3 separate regions of the Mus musculus genome follow, and all the other regions are reported to be linked to region 2. The links are microRNA targets in miRTarBase. Many come from high-throughput screens and were not tested one by one. Region 2 holds a microRNA gene; each other region holds the end of a gene's coding sequence.

What was found. Region 2 holds the annotated microRNA mmu-miR-93-5p (CAAAGUGCUGUUCGUGCAGGUAG, at 1,997-2,019, opposite strand). A microRNA usually pairs through its seed, bases 2 to 8, with sites in the 3' UTR of a target mRNA and lowers its output. Matches are read on the target gene's strand: a 7mer-m8 pairs with bases 2 to 8, a 7mer-A1 pairs with bases 2 to 7 and ends in A, and an 8mer does both.
Region 1: miRTarBase lists Neurl1b as a target of mmu-miR-93-5p. Seed matches in the 3' UTR shown: 7mer-A1 at 836-842.
Region 3: the mRNA of Sqstm1 is a reported target of mmu-miR-93-5p. Seed matches in the 3' UTR shown: 8mer at 1,985-1,992.

Annotation. Positions count from the first base shown.
Region 1 is chr17:26,441,033-26,444,280 of GRCm38, reverse strand. Neurl1b (neuralized E3 ubiquitin protein ligase 1B) reads right to left here. Exons shown (of 5, transcript NM_001081656.3): 4 at 3,078-3,203; 5 at 1-2,730. The coding sequence ends at 2,486. Among named protein-coding and RNA genes, the nearest start is that of Neurl1b, 28 kb to the right of the region's middle.
Region 2 is chr5:138,163,578-138,166,825 of GRCm38, forward strand. It overlaps Mir93 (microRNA 93), which reads right to left and starts at 2,033; the gene lies at 1,946-2,033. It overlaps Cops6 (COP9 signalosome subunit 6), which reads left to right. Exons shown (of 10, transcript NM_012002.3): 9 at 1-32; 10 at 159-407. The coding sequence ends at 299. It overlaps Mcm7 (minichromosome maintenance complex component 7), which reads right to left. Exons shown (of 15, transcript NM_008568.3): 12 at 3,106-3,189; 13 at 2,333-2,501; 14 at 1,475-1,584; 15 at 1,006-1,343. The coding sequence ends at 1,142. It overlaps Mir25 (microRNA 25), which reads right to left and starts at 1,827; the gene lies at 1,744-1,827. It also overlaps Mir106b.
Region 3 is chr11:50,198,172-50,201,419 of GRCm38, forward strand. Sqstm1 (sequestosome 1) reads right to left here. Exons shown (of 8, transcript NM_011018.3): 8 at 1,981-2,776. The coding sequence ends at 2,619. It overlaps Mrnip (MRN complex interacting protein), which reads left to right. Exons shown (of 7, transcript NM_026543.3): 7 at 1,365-1,944. The coding sequence ends at 1,847. Among named protein-coding and RNA genes, the nearest start is that of Sqstm1, 11 kb to the right of the region's middle.

The sequences.
Region 1 (3,248 bases), not on the chromosome of region 2:
CGGTATGAAAGACACTGGCTTCTTTTCCCTCCTGCCCGTTGTTGAGATGAAACACACACATACACACTTTCTCTAGGGCCTGACTCCGTCTTTCAGAGCACAGGCAAATACCCGACTTTCAGAACAGAAACACCCCCTTTGCTCTGTGGGAAACAAGGCAGCTATTTATAGCAGCTGCAGAGCAGGTTAAACAGGCCTGTGGTTCCTTTTTGTCCTGGTAACAGGTCACCAGGATCATGCCTGGTCCACCCCTAAGTCTAGGACCTCAGCTGTTGATGTCCTGGTGGTGGCTGTGGGTGACCCCTGATACACCTCAAGGGTCTATCTGGGAGGGCAAGAAGCAAAGGAGAACTTGTTCCCCTTTCTCTGAAACTGTGGCAGTTAGAGACAATATTCAGACAGGACCACGGCTGCCTGGAAACCCGGCCATCATCACTGGCGATGAGGAGGCTCTGTCCATGCCCAGCACACATAGAAGCTAAAGGCTTGGCTGTGTAAATTGAGCTGTGTAGCCAAAGCGCCTGATTCTCAGACTCTCACCGAGGCGAACAAGGGTTACTCTAGCTCCTTAAAGGAGTCAGCTGCACCAGGGCAGTGGTGGTGCCACACCCTTAGTCCCAGCACTCAGGAGGCAGATTTCTGAGTTTGGGGCTAGCCTGGTCTACAGAGTGAGTTCCAGGAAAACCAAAACAACAACAAACCAAAACACACACAAAAAAAAAAAAGAAAAGAAAAGGAAAAAGAAAAAGAAAAAAGAAAGAAAGAAAGAAAAGAAAAAGAAAAAGAAAAAGAAAAAGAAAAAGAAAAAGAAAAAGAAAAAGGAAGAGAATCATCCTAAAGTGAAAAGGTGGGCGTGACATCCCTAAGGGAAAGCGAGCTCTCAGAGGTTCTTGCTGGGAGAGGAAGGCGGAGCTGTGAACAGGTCAGATCCTGACTCTTTCAGAGCAGCAGTGGAGGCCCAAGGCCTCCAGCCACCAGGGGCACTGAGAGGGGCTTGGGCTGCTCTCAAGTGTTCCATGGCTCCTTGTCAAAATCTGTTCCATGAACCTCACTTCCTAAATGTTTCTCTTGCCCTCTTTTTCCCTCCCTCACAGCAAGAGAGGGCCAGGTTAGGCACTGTGAGGAAACAGTTGCTCCTGGCAAGGTGTCTCAAGCTTTCTCTCAAAACAACAACAACAACAACAACAACAACAACAACAACAACAGAGCGGGTCTCACCAATGCCCTGGCACCAGGCTTCCAAGTAGGAGCAAAGAAGAGGGAGGGTCAAGGAACTTCACTAAAGGTACAGCTCAGGGTAGGTGGATGCACATCCGGTACAACCCGTGGCTCTTTAGAAGGGAGGGGTGGCACACACGGCCAGAGCATCCGCAATGGCAAAGTCTGGAAGCCTACAGACATAAGTGACCCAGTGAGAGGGTGACAGGGCCAGGGGCCTGGGAAATGGCAGCAAACAGGCCCAGGAGTGGGGAGCATTTTCAGTCAGTTCCTCACGAGTAGCTAACTGATGTACTTAACACCATAATAATCAACAGGAAAATGAGAGTCAGGACAAGGACGAGGTAGGGGTCTGGGTCTTCTAGCTTCTGCCAGCTGCTCACTGGGACATGCCCTAAGCTCTTAATTCTACCTTGGGAGACACGGAGTTGTCCTAGAGAACAGCAAGGACGTCATAAAACGCCACAGCAAGTAGGGACAAGGCTGAGGTGTTTACTGTTCTAGTGGCTGGGGATAAAGGACTCTAGTTGCTACAGCTGGGGCACCTGTCCTCAGCTGCCTTGGGAAGGCTACTCCTAGGCTGAGTGAGACGCGAAAGCCACCTGTTCTCCGATGTTCTCCGCCTACCTTCTCCCCTCAGCAGGAGCTGCTGTCTGGAGCTGTAAACAGTGAGTTATTTTTGCTCTCCCTTAGAAAATCTGAGCGCCATTGAGGGAGCTCTGTGTAGGTTCAGGCCTCCTGTGTTCAAAGCTAGCTCACTGCAGAAAAACCTAAATCCCCAGAAAGTGGACAACCACACTAACAGTTGGGCCCAGATTGCACATTCCGTAGTGTTAAATACCCTCCAGGAGATGGATCCCTACATAAAACATTCACACATTCTCTCTCACCCATTCTCCGTGCTGTCTCCCCACCCCCCCACCCAGACACACACACTCAACCCAACCCCAAAGAAGCATTGCACAGACAGAGGGTACCCTTTCCCAGCTGAAGGTCACCAAGAGGCAGGTGATCTGCCAGGCAGTTCCTGAGCTGAATCCTGGGACAGGCTTTTGGGGGTGATGTGTGTTTGAGCCAGAAGCAACAAGTGCTTGCCTGGGCTCTGGCCCCCAGGGCCTCATCTCCATACCTGTCCTGCCTTGCTCATCACTGCGGAGTGGCAGACGAGAGATGGCTCCTGACCCCAGGCTCCCTGATAGCCATGGTGTCGCCCACCTAGCAGGGGCTTCAGAAAGGTGACCTTGCCTTGGCCGAGCCAGTTGCACAGCTACGGCCTGTAGATCTTGATAACATCCTTGATGGGCCGCCGGCAGATGGGACAGCAGGCCCGTGCCTGCCTTCGGAGCCGCAGGCCGCAGCCATGACACAGGCACATGTGTCCACACGTGTAGATGACCGTGTCCACCTCGCTGTCGAAGCACACTGTGCACTCTCCATTCCTGCTGCCGGTCGGCTCGGGTGCGGAGAAGGCTGGGGACACCGGGGGACTCAGAGGGGAGCTGGGGGCTGTCACTGCCAGAAGGGAGATAGGATTTCATTAATGGCGTGGCTCTCAGAAGGACTCTGAATGTAGTATTCCCTTGGTGGCAATGGGCACAGTCCCATCTTTGTCTACATTTTGAATTTTACCCGTTTTTGATAGTGCTGTCTCACAAAGCACAAAGGTAAACTGCCTTCATCAGCAGCCTTTGGGCTTCTGATTCTCTGTATTTATTCACCCACTGAGCACAGCAGAGAGGAGCAGATGCAATGGCAAACACCGCTGGCCTCCTCGGCCAGCAAAGGCCAAGGCCACGGGCACAGCCAGAGCACCCATGTCATGAGGAAGTCCTGCCCCTCCGAGTTCTGTGTTTCCTTACCCAGAGACGATTCTGATGCTGAGGACGACTGGTTGACGCCGAAGGTCATGTCTGAATCGCTGTCATCCTGGGAGCCACTGAAGGACCCTGATGGCGTCATGGTCTCAGAACTGGACTGTAGGGTACCTGGGAGTCAAACAGGTGTGACTCTATTAGGGTGTGAGAGAGAGG
Region 2 (3,248 bases):
GCACTGACAAGTTCAAGACAGACTTTTATGATGTGAGTGTTGACACCTTTGATGGGGAGGTGGGGCTCACACCACCTCACAGGTAGGAGGTGAAACTCAAGTGTCACTGGCTAATACGAGGGACCCCTGGGGAACTGGTTCTTTGTGTTCCCTCCCAGCAATGCAATGACGTGGGGCTCATGGCCTACCTCGGCACCATCACCAAAACGTGCAACACAATGAACCAGTTTGTGAACAAGTTCAACGTCCTCTACGACCGACAAGGCATTGGCCGGCGAATGCGGGGACTGTTTTTCTGATGATGGTTCTGGAAGGGATGGTGTGTGGGGCTCAGACAGCTGTTCCATGGACCTGAGTACCACATTCCCTTTAGAGAAACTCATTAATAAAAGAGCAGCCCCTTAGCAGCCCTTCCAGTGGCTTTGTCCTCTCAGGCACCACACTGGTTTCTCAACATGGACTCTTAAGGAAGCTTCACCCATTAATCCACATTTTTTGACCACCTACCCACCTTTTAATGACTCGAGGTGACCCCTTGTTGAAGTAGACAAAATGTGATAGGACGACCTGCTTGCTTCCAGTTTTTGTGCTCTGTGATCAATTCATGTCACAGCTCCACAGAAAGATTGCTTTCCCAGGCTAATTTAATTTCACTGCAAATGTTTCTCAAATAGGAAGGGGAGGGAAGCTGAATTCCATCTTTGTAATTGTGGTTATCTCAAGTCCTTGTTTTTCTATATCCTGAAGGTACCTAGGAGGGTGATATGTACCTCATCCTTAGGCCTTCCACTTAAGTCATACCTTGTGCTAGGCGCAACTTTCTGCCCTTCACATCCTGGTGTCATCACGTCTAGATGTGGGGGTCTAACAAACGAAATGTCCATAATTGGAAGCATCTCAAGAAACAGTGGTCCCAAGGCCTTCTATCTCCCAGATTGACTAGCACATAGTAAGGGTCAGTACTAGAGACTAGGGGAGGAGAGAGCATACTAAAAACTCTACAGAGTTATTAACAAGCAAGAGGCAATCAAAACACTTTATTGGCAGAATAAAAAAGTGCAGCATGGGAGAATGAGATTTTTTCTTGAGGGGGCATTCAGCATGCCCTCTGGTGTAGGCAGGAGGGTGTAAAAACTGGCTATCAGACAAAGGTGATCCGTGTCCGAGAAGTATTAACCTGCCAGACATTTAGCTCCTCATATTCATCCAGAGCTGCCTGGAACTGGGCTGGTGTGAAGCCACGAGATATGCAGCGCTGTTCAGCCTCAGAAAAGTGGACACTCCGCCCCCGTGACACCAATTCACGGATGGTGGCAAATATCACATCTGCTGGCCTCTGGGTCCTAAAAGACAAGGATGGAAAAGGTGAAGGTGCAAGGCCACAAACAGTAGCAGCAATCAGCATCAAAACCCTGAGGGCAAGCCAGGTCAATAAGCCCAGTGGTCCAGTCTCACTCTTCATTAAAATCCTCACCTAGCTGTCTGTCCCTTTTCACCTAGAAGGGAGTCCTTCGACATCTCCATCAACCTTATGGCTTCATTTACATCTTCCTTCTCCACAATGTCTACCATCCGAAGTCGAGCCTAAGGGGAAGGCATAGAAAAGATTGGGATAGGAGGGGAGGAGGGGAATGAAGTCAAGGATCTTTCTTTGCTCCAGCTTCAAGCCTGGGCAAGCCACATTTGCCTACTCATTGAACAAAAATGGGGACTCCTCCCTGCCCCCCCACATCTGCAGTGTTGGGCCGGCACTGTCAGACCGAGACAAGTGCAATGCCCAGGGCAGCGTCCAGCAATTGCCCAAGTCTCCGCCTCTCAACACTGGCCAGTCCCGGTGGGTGTTCAGCTGTCCTGTGAGGGAGACCAGACCCTTCTGAACTCCACTAGGCTCCCCATCAAACAAATGGAGCCTGGGGCGCTCAGCTAGGGCCACTATCAGAGGTTGTGTCCTGGGGGCTCGGGAAGTGCTAGCTCAGCAGTAGGTCAGGTAATTACACTACCTGCACGAACAGCACTTTGGAGCCCCCATGACTAAGGTCCAAGAGGGGAGGACAGAATGGAGATTTCTAAGATCATATCTAGGACACCAGGAATTCAAGTCCTAGCCCTCATGGATTCAAGCAGCAAGCAGCCTTTCCCTCCATGGGCGTTGCACGTGCCCTGCTGGAGCAGCAAGTACCCACAGTGCGGTAGCACAGAGAGGACCACTATCTGCACTGTCAGCACTTTAGTCCCAGCAGGGCTGGTAGGAGGGAAGGAGGCGGCTTGAGGGTCATTAGGTGAGGTGGCAGGCAGGGGTCAGCTTTCCAGCTGACAGGGACCCACCACTCACCAGAGCAGTGGAAAGTCGGAGAATGGCCAGCAGGGTCCGGGCAGAAGTATAGGTGGCATCCTTACTGGCCCGGGCCTCTCGCCTCATCTCCACATATGCTGCGGTGATGTAGTCAGCCAGAGATTCAGGCACTGTGGGCTGTCTCTCGTGGCACATGGCTATGTACCGTCTGTGGGAAACAAGGTTCATGGGAAAGCGGGAAAGCAGGCAGGCTTTATGAGATTCCCCACTTAATATTCTATGCTGACGTGGACAGTGAGGGATTTCTCCAAAACAGGGCTGCCAGGACACTTCAAGTAACTTCCAACTTTTCAGGAGAATGACATTTACCAAAGCACCTGTAGTGGGAGGATTTAACTTAACCCCTTGACAGACTTCAGAGACCATGTGAAAACCAGTTTAGAAACCCGAGTCATCTGTGCCATGGAAGCACTTATGGCCAAAAAGCTAGACCTGCCTCGGACAGGATTTAGAGAGTGAGAGAGGTTCCTTTATATACAGGAGGGAAGTAGTTTTTGGAGACATCCCCAAAATGACTCAGGTTTCAGAGTAGCTAGGATTATATAAGGCCTGCTGCTCTGTCATCCCAAAACAGAAAAAAAGTTTCTGATGATCCCTTGGCTACAGAGAGACCCAGGCTCAGCTACTTTTGAGGCTGAAATAGATAAGCAGATGAGTCCTTTCAAGACTCAATGCTTTCCAGACACACTTGGCATAAGACAATGCCACAGACCAGTACTCTCCCCAGACATACCCATCTCCACCCCTCCTACCTCATAAGTTTCATGTCCAAAGGTTCAAATTGGGCAGGGGGCTGCCGGCTGTGCTGGTGGACATAGGTGATGTGCTGGGCCAACCTGGAGAGAAGACGGGCGTCAGTCTTTAGAGCTCTAACACCCTGAGAATCTTGACTCAG
Region 3 (3,248 bases), not on the chromosome of region 2:
CAAGTTCCAGGGTACATAGCAGACACTTGTTTCCTCCCACCCCACAAAAAGACCAATTCGTGAGCCAGGTGGAATACACCCATAATCCCAGCCCTCAAGAGACTGAGGCAGGAAGAGCTCAATTCAAGGCCACTCAGACATACAGCAAGACATGGTCATGAGTGTCATCTCATGCTGTTATTTCACAGCCAAGAGGATAGCTTGAGACCTTGGAGTCAACCAAGGCTGGCGAGTAGGATTTGAGGCAAGACTGATCCTGCAGAGTGGAGGAACTTTGTTAGCCTGGTCACAATCAGAGTTGCCTGGGCTCTGTCTGTGGGAACACACTGCTTACTTTATAGTATGCTGATGCTCAGACCTAGTGGGCCCACTGTATATTCAGCACAGCTATGGAAGCCCTAGGAATGAGAGTTCTCCCTCTAAGAGGTAAAAGGCCACCAGCTCAGCCTCAGACTGCATGCTGAGCAGGGCACAATGCCCAGAGACAGTTAAATTTTGATGTTTCATGAACTACCTAGTGATCCGGTAGATATAGTCCCATTGGTTTTTTTTTTTTTTTTTTTTTTTTTTTTTGGTTTTTCGAGACAGGGTTTCTCTGTGTAGCCCTGGCTGTCCTGGAACTCACTTTGTAGACCAGGCTGGCCTCGAACTCAGAAATCCACCTGCCTCTGCCTCCCAAGTGCTGGGATTAAAGGCATGCGCCACCACGCCCGGCTTAGTCCCATTGTTGAATCATGGTTGTAAGTTACAGAGACTTTGCCATGGACCACATCCTAGACCAAACACTATAACTGAGTCAGTATCACCAGGCTGCTGTTTTAGAGGAACTAAGACTTTGGAAGCGTCTGAGTTCACAGCAAGTTCAGTAGCCAGCATCACAGTCTTTTCAGCATTCCCTGGGCACTCATGGTGCAAAGACCCAGTGTTACTGTCACACTGTCCTTTGCAAGCAGTGAAACCGTGTCCTCTGCAACTCTGGTTTCTGAGCTGGGAAAGCCAGGCCTAGCACCATGTCACACCTGAGACCTCAGTGGAGCCACCTGGGCTCCTGCACCACAGTCCAGCTTTGAGATGTCCTGGCTTAGCTGGGAGTGTGCAGGCATGACAGACTGCAGCTTTTTAGGTGGTCAGTGTCTAGGCCCCTTCCTGCTCACATCTCCCAGAGCTTCCCAAGAGATGGCTCACTCAATGGTAGGATGTCTTCTTTATATGAGAAATGTGGTCATGGGATTTATCAGGTCAGGGTAACGGGGTGGGGGGTTGTAAGATTGATTTGTTAAAGGGATTGGTGGTGGTTATGCAGAAAGCAGGGTTTGCTGAGCATCCTGCCAAGCTGAATGAGCGCTTTCTCTGCTTACTTTCAGGACTCCACTGGCCTGTTTGGAACAGAGCAGCAAGGCACCAGCCCTGCCCTCAGTACTGCGAACCACACCAGAGAGCTCGGTTTTCCTAGGTGGAAACTACCAAGTCCTGTTACACAAGTTAATGCCCCATCTTCTAAATGGGCACGGTTTCTCCTGGCACCTGGAAATAGTCCTCAAGTGGATGAGAAACCAAGTCCTCTGCAGGAGGCCACCATGCTAGCTGACCTGGCACAAGGGACTGTTGAGAACAAGACTCCAGTGGAAGGCCACTTCAGCAGAGCCCCTGCCATTAGGCCTCCTCAAGCCATTCACACTACCACCCCACAACTGGACAGACCTGACAGGAAGACCCGAGAGCAGCCAAGGGACATGGGGACTCCTCGAGCAGATGGTAGGCCTTTGGCTCAAGGGACCCAGAAGGCTCCACCCTTGCAACTGCACAACCTCTTTACAACCGGAGAGGACTTTGATGATGACCTGTAGCCTTCACTGTTCTGTGTCCCTCAATGCCAGTCCTCCTTGTCACAGACTGGGGTGCTCTGGAACAAATAACCCAACAATAAACGTGCCTGTCAACAGAGTCCTCTTGCTGCTACACTCGTACGGATCACAGGGCTGGTTAAAGTGCATATGCCATTTTATTACAGGTTACTTACAAACCAAGTCAGAGGAAGCTACATGGGGGTCCTGTGCTTTAAGCATTAACATTAGACACAAACACTAAAGAGTGGCCATTAGAAAGGGGGACAGTATAAGATAAGATCCTTCATTCGGCTTCACATGAATTCTCCATTCCCTAGGAGCTGTAGGCCCCTGCCTGCCACCTTTCACTCACTATGGACAGTCCCCTCTTAACATAATGGCTTTATTTGTTGAAAATAACTAGCAGTTGTACTAATCACTTTTAATAAAGGAAACACGGGTTGTCAGGCAGGAATTCTGGACTGCTGGTGCAATGCTGGCGGCAAGAGCAGGTGGGAGTGCAGTGTGTGCTGCAGTTCCCTGCAGAGGCCAGGCCTAGGGAAAGCAGAGGAAGCTCAGCTCAGCCACGGGTACCTGGGTCTGTTCTCAGGCGTCAGCATATGCACATTCAAAACTCTCCTCATGCACTTTCCTATTGCCTGAAAAGGCATCACACATTCCCACCTGAAGATTCTACAAGAATGCCAAGACACTGGGCCTATCTATAGAAGCCCTGCTGCTCTACGTGATGCAACTACAAGACAAAGGGGGTGGGGCTTGGCCACAGCACTATCACAATGGTGGAGGGTGCTTCGAATACTGGATCGTGTCCAGAGCAGCCCCGATGTCGTAATTCTTGGTCTGTAGGAGCCTGGTGAGCCAGCCGCCTTCATCCGAGAAACCCATGGACAGCATCTGGGAGAGGGACTCAATCAGCCGGGGATCAGCCTCTGCCAAAACAAGACAGGAAAGTAAGGTATCCTGCTGCATTCCCAGCAGAGCAGCTCCTGCCTGCCAGGAAGACCCCACCCCTCTGCTTAGCCTTATAGGGACCCTCAAAGGCTAAAGGATCAGACAGCTTGCTTGGCAGACTCTCCAGTCCTGGTCACAACTGTTCAGTTCTGCCACTGAAGTACAAAACAGCCAGAAGGTATGTAGACAAATAAGTGCAGCTGTTTTCCTATAAAGTTTTATTGACAGATGTGATAGCTCAAGCCTGTAATCCCAACACTCAAGAGCTGGAAGCAGGAACATCGTGGGCAACAGTGAGACGCCATCTCAAAACCAACCAACCAAAATCCTTTATAGATTAAAAAAAAAAAATCTCTAACTGCCGTGTGTACTCGTGTTCCCACGTGGGTGAACATGTATGTGTAAAGGTGTGGAAGCCCAGAGCTGAAGTAAGGCTTTTCCTCTATGGCT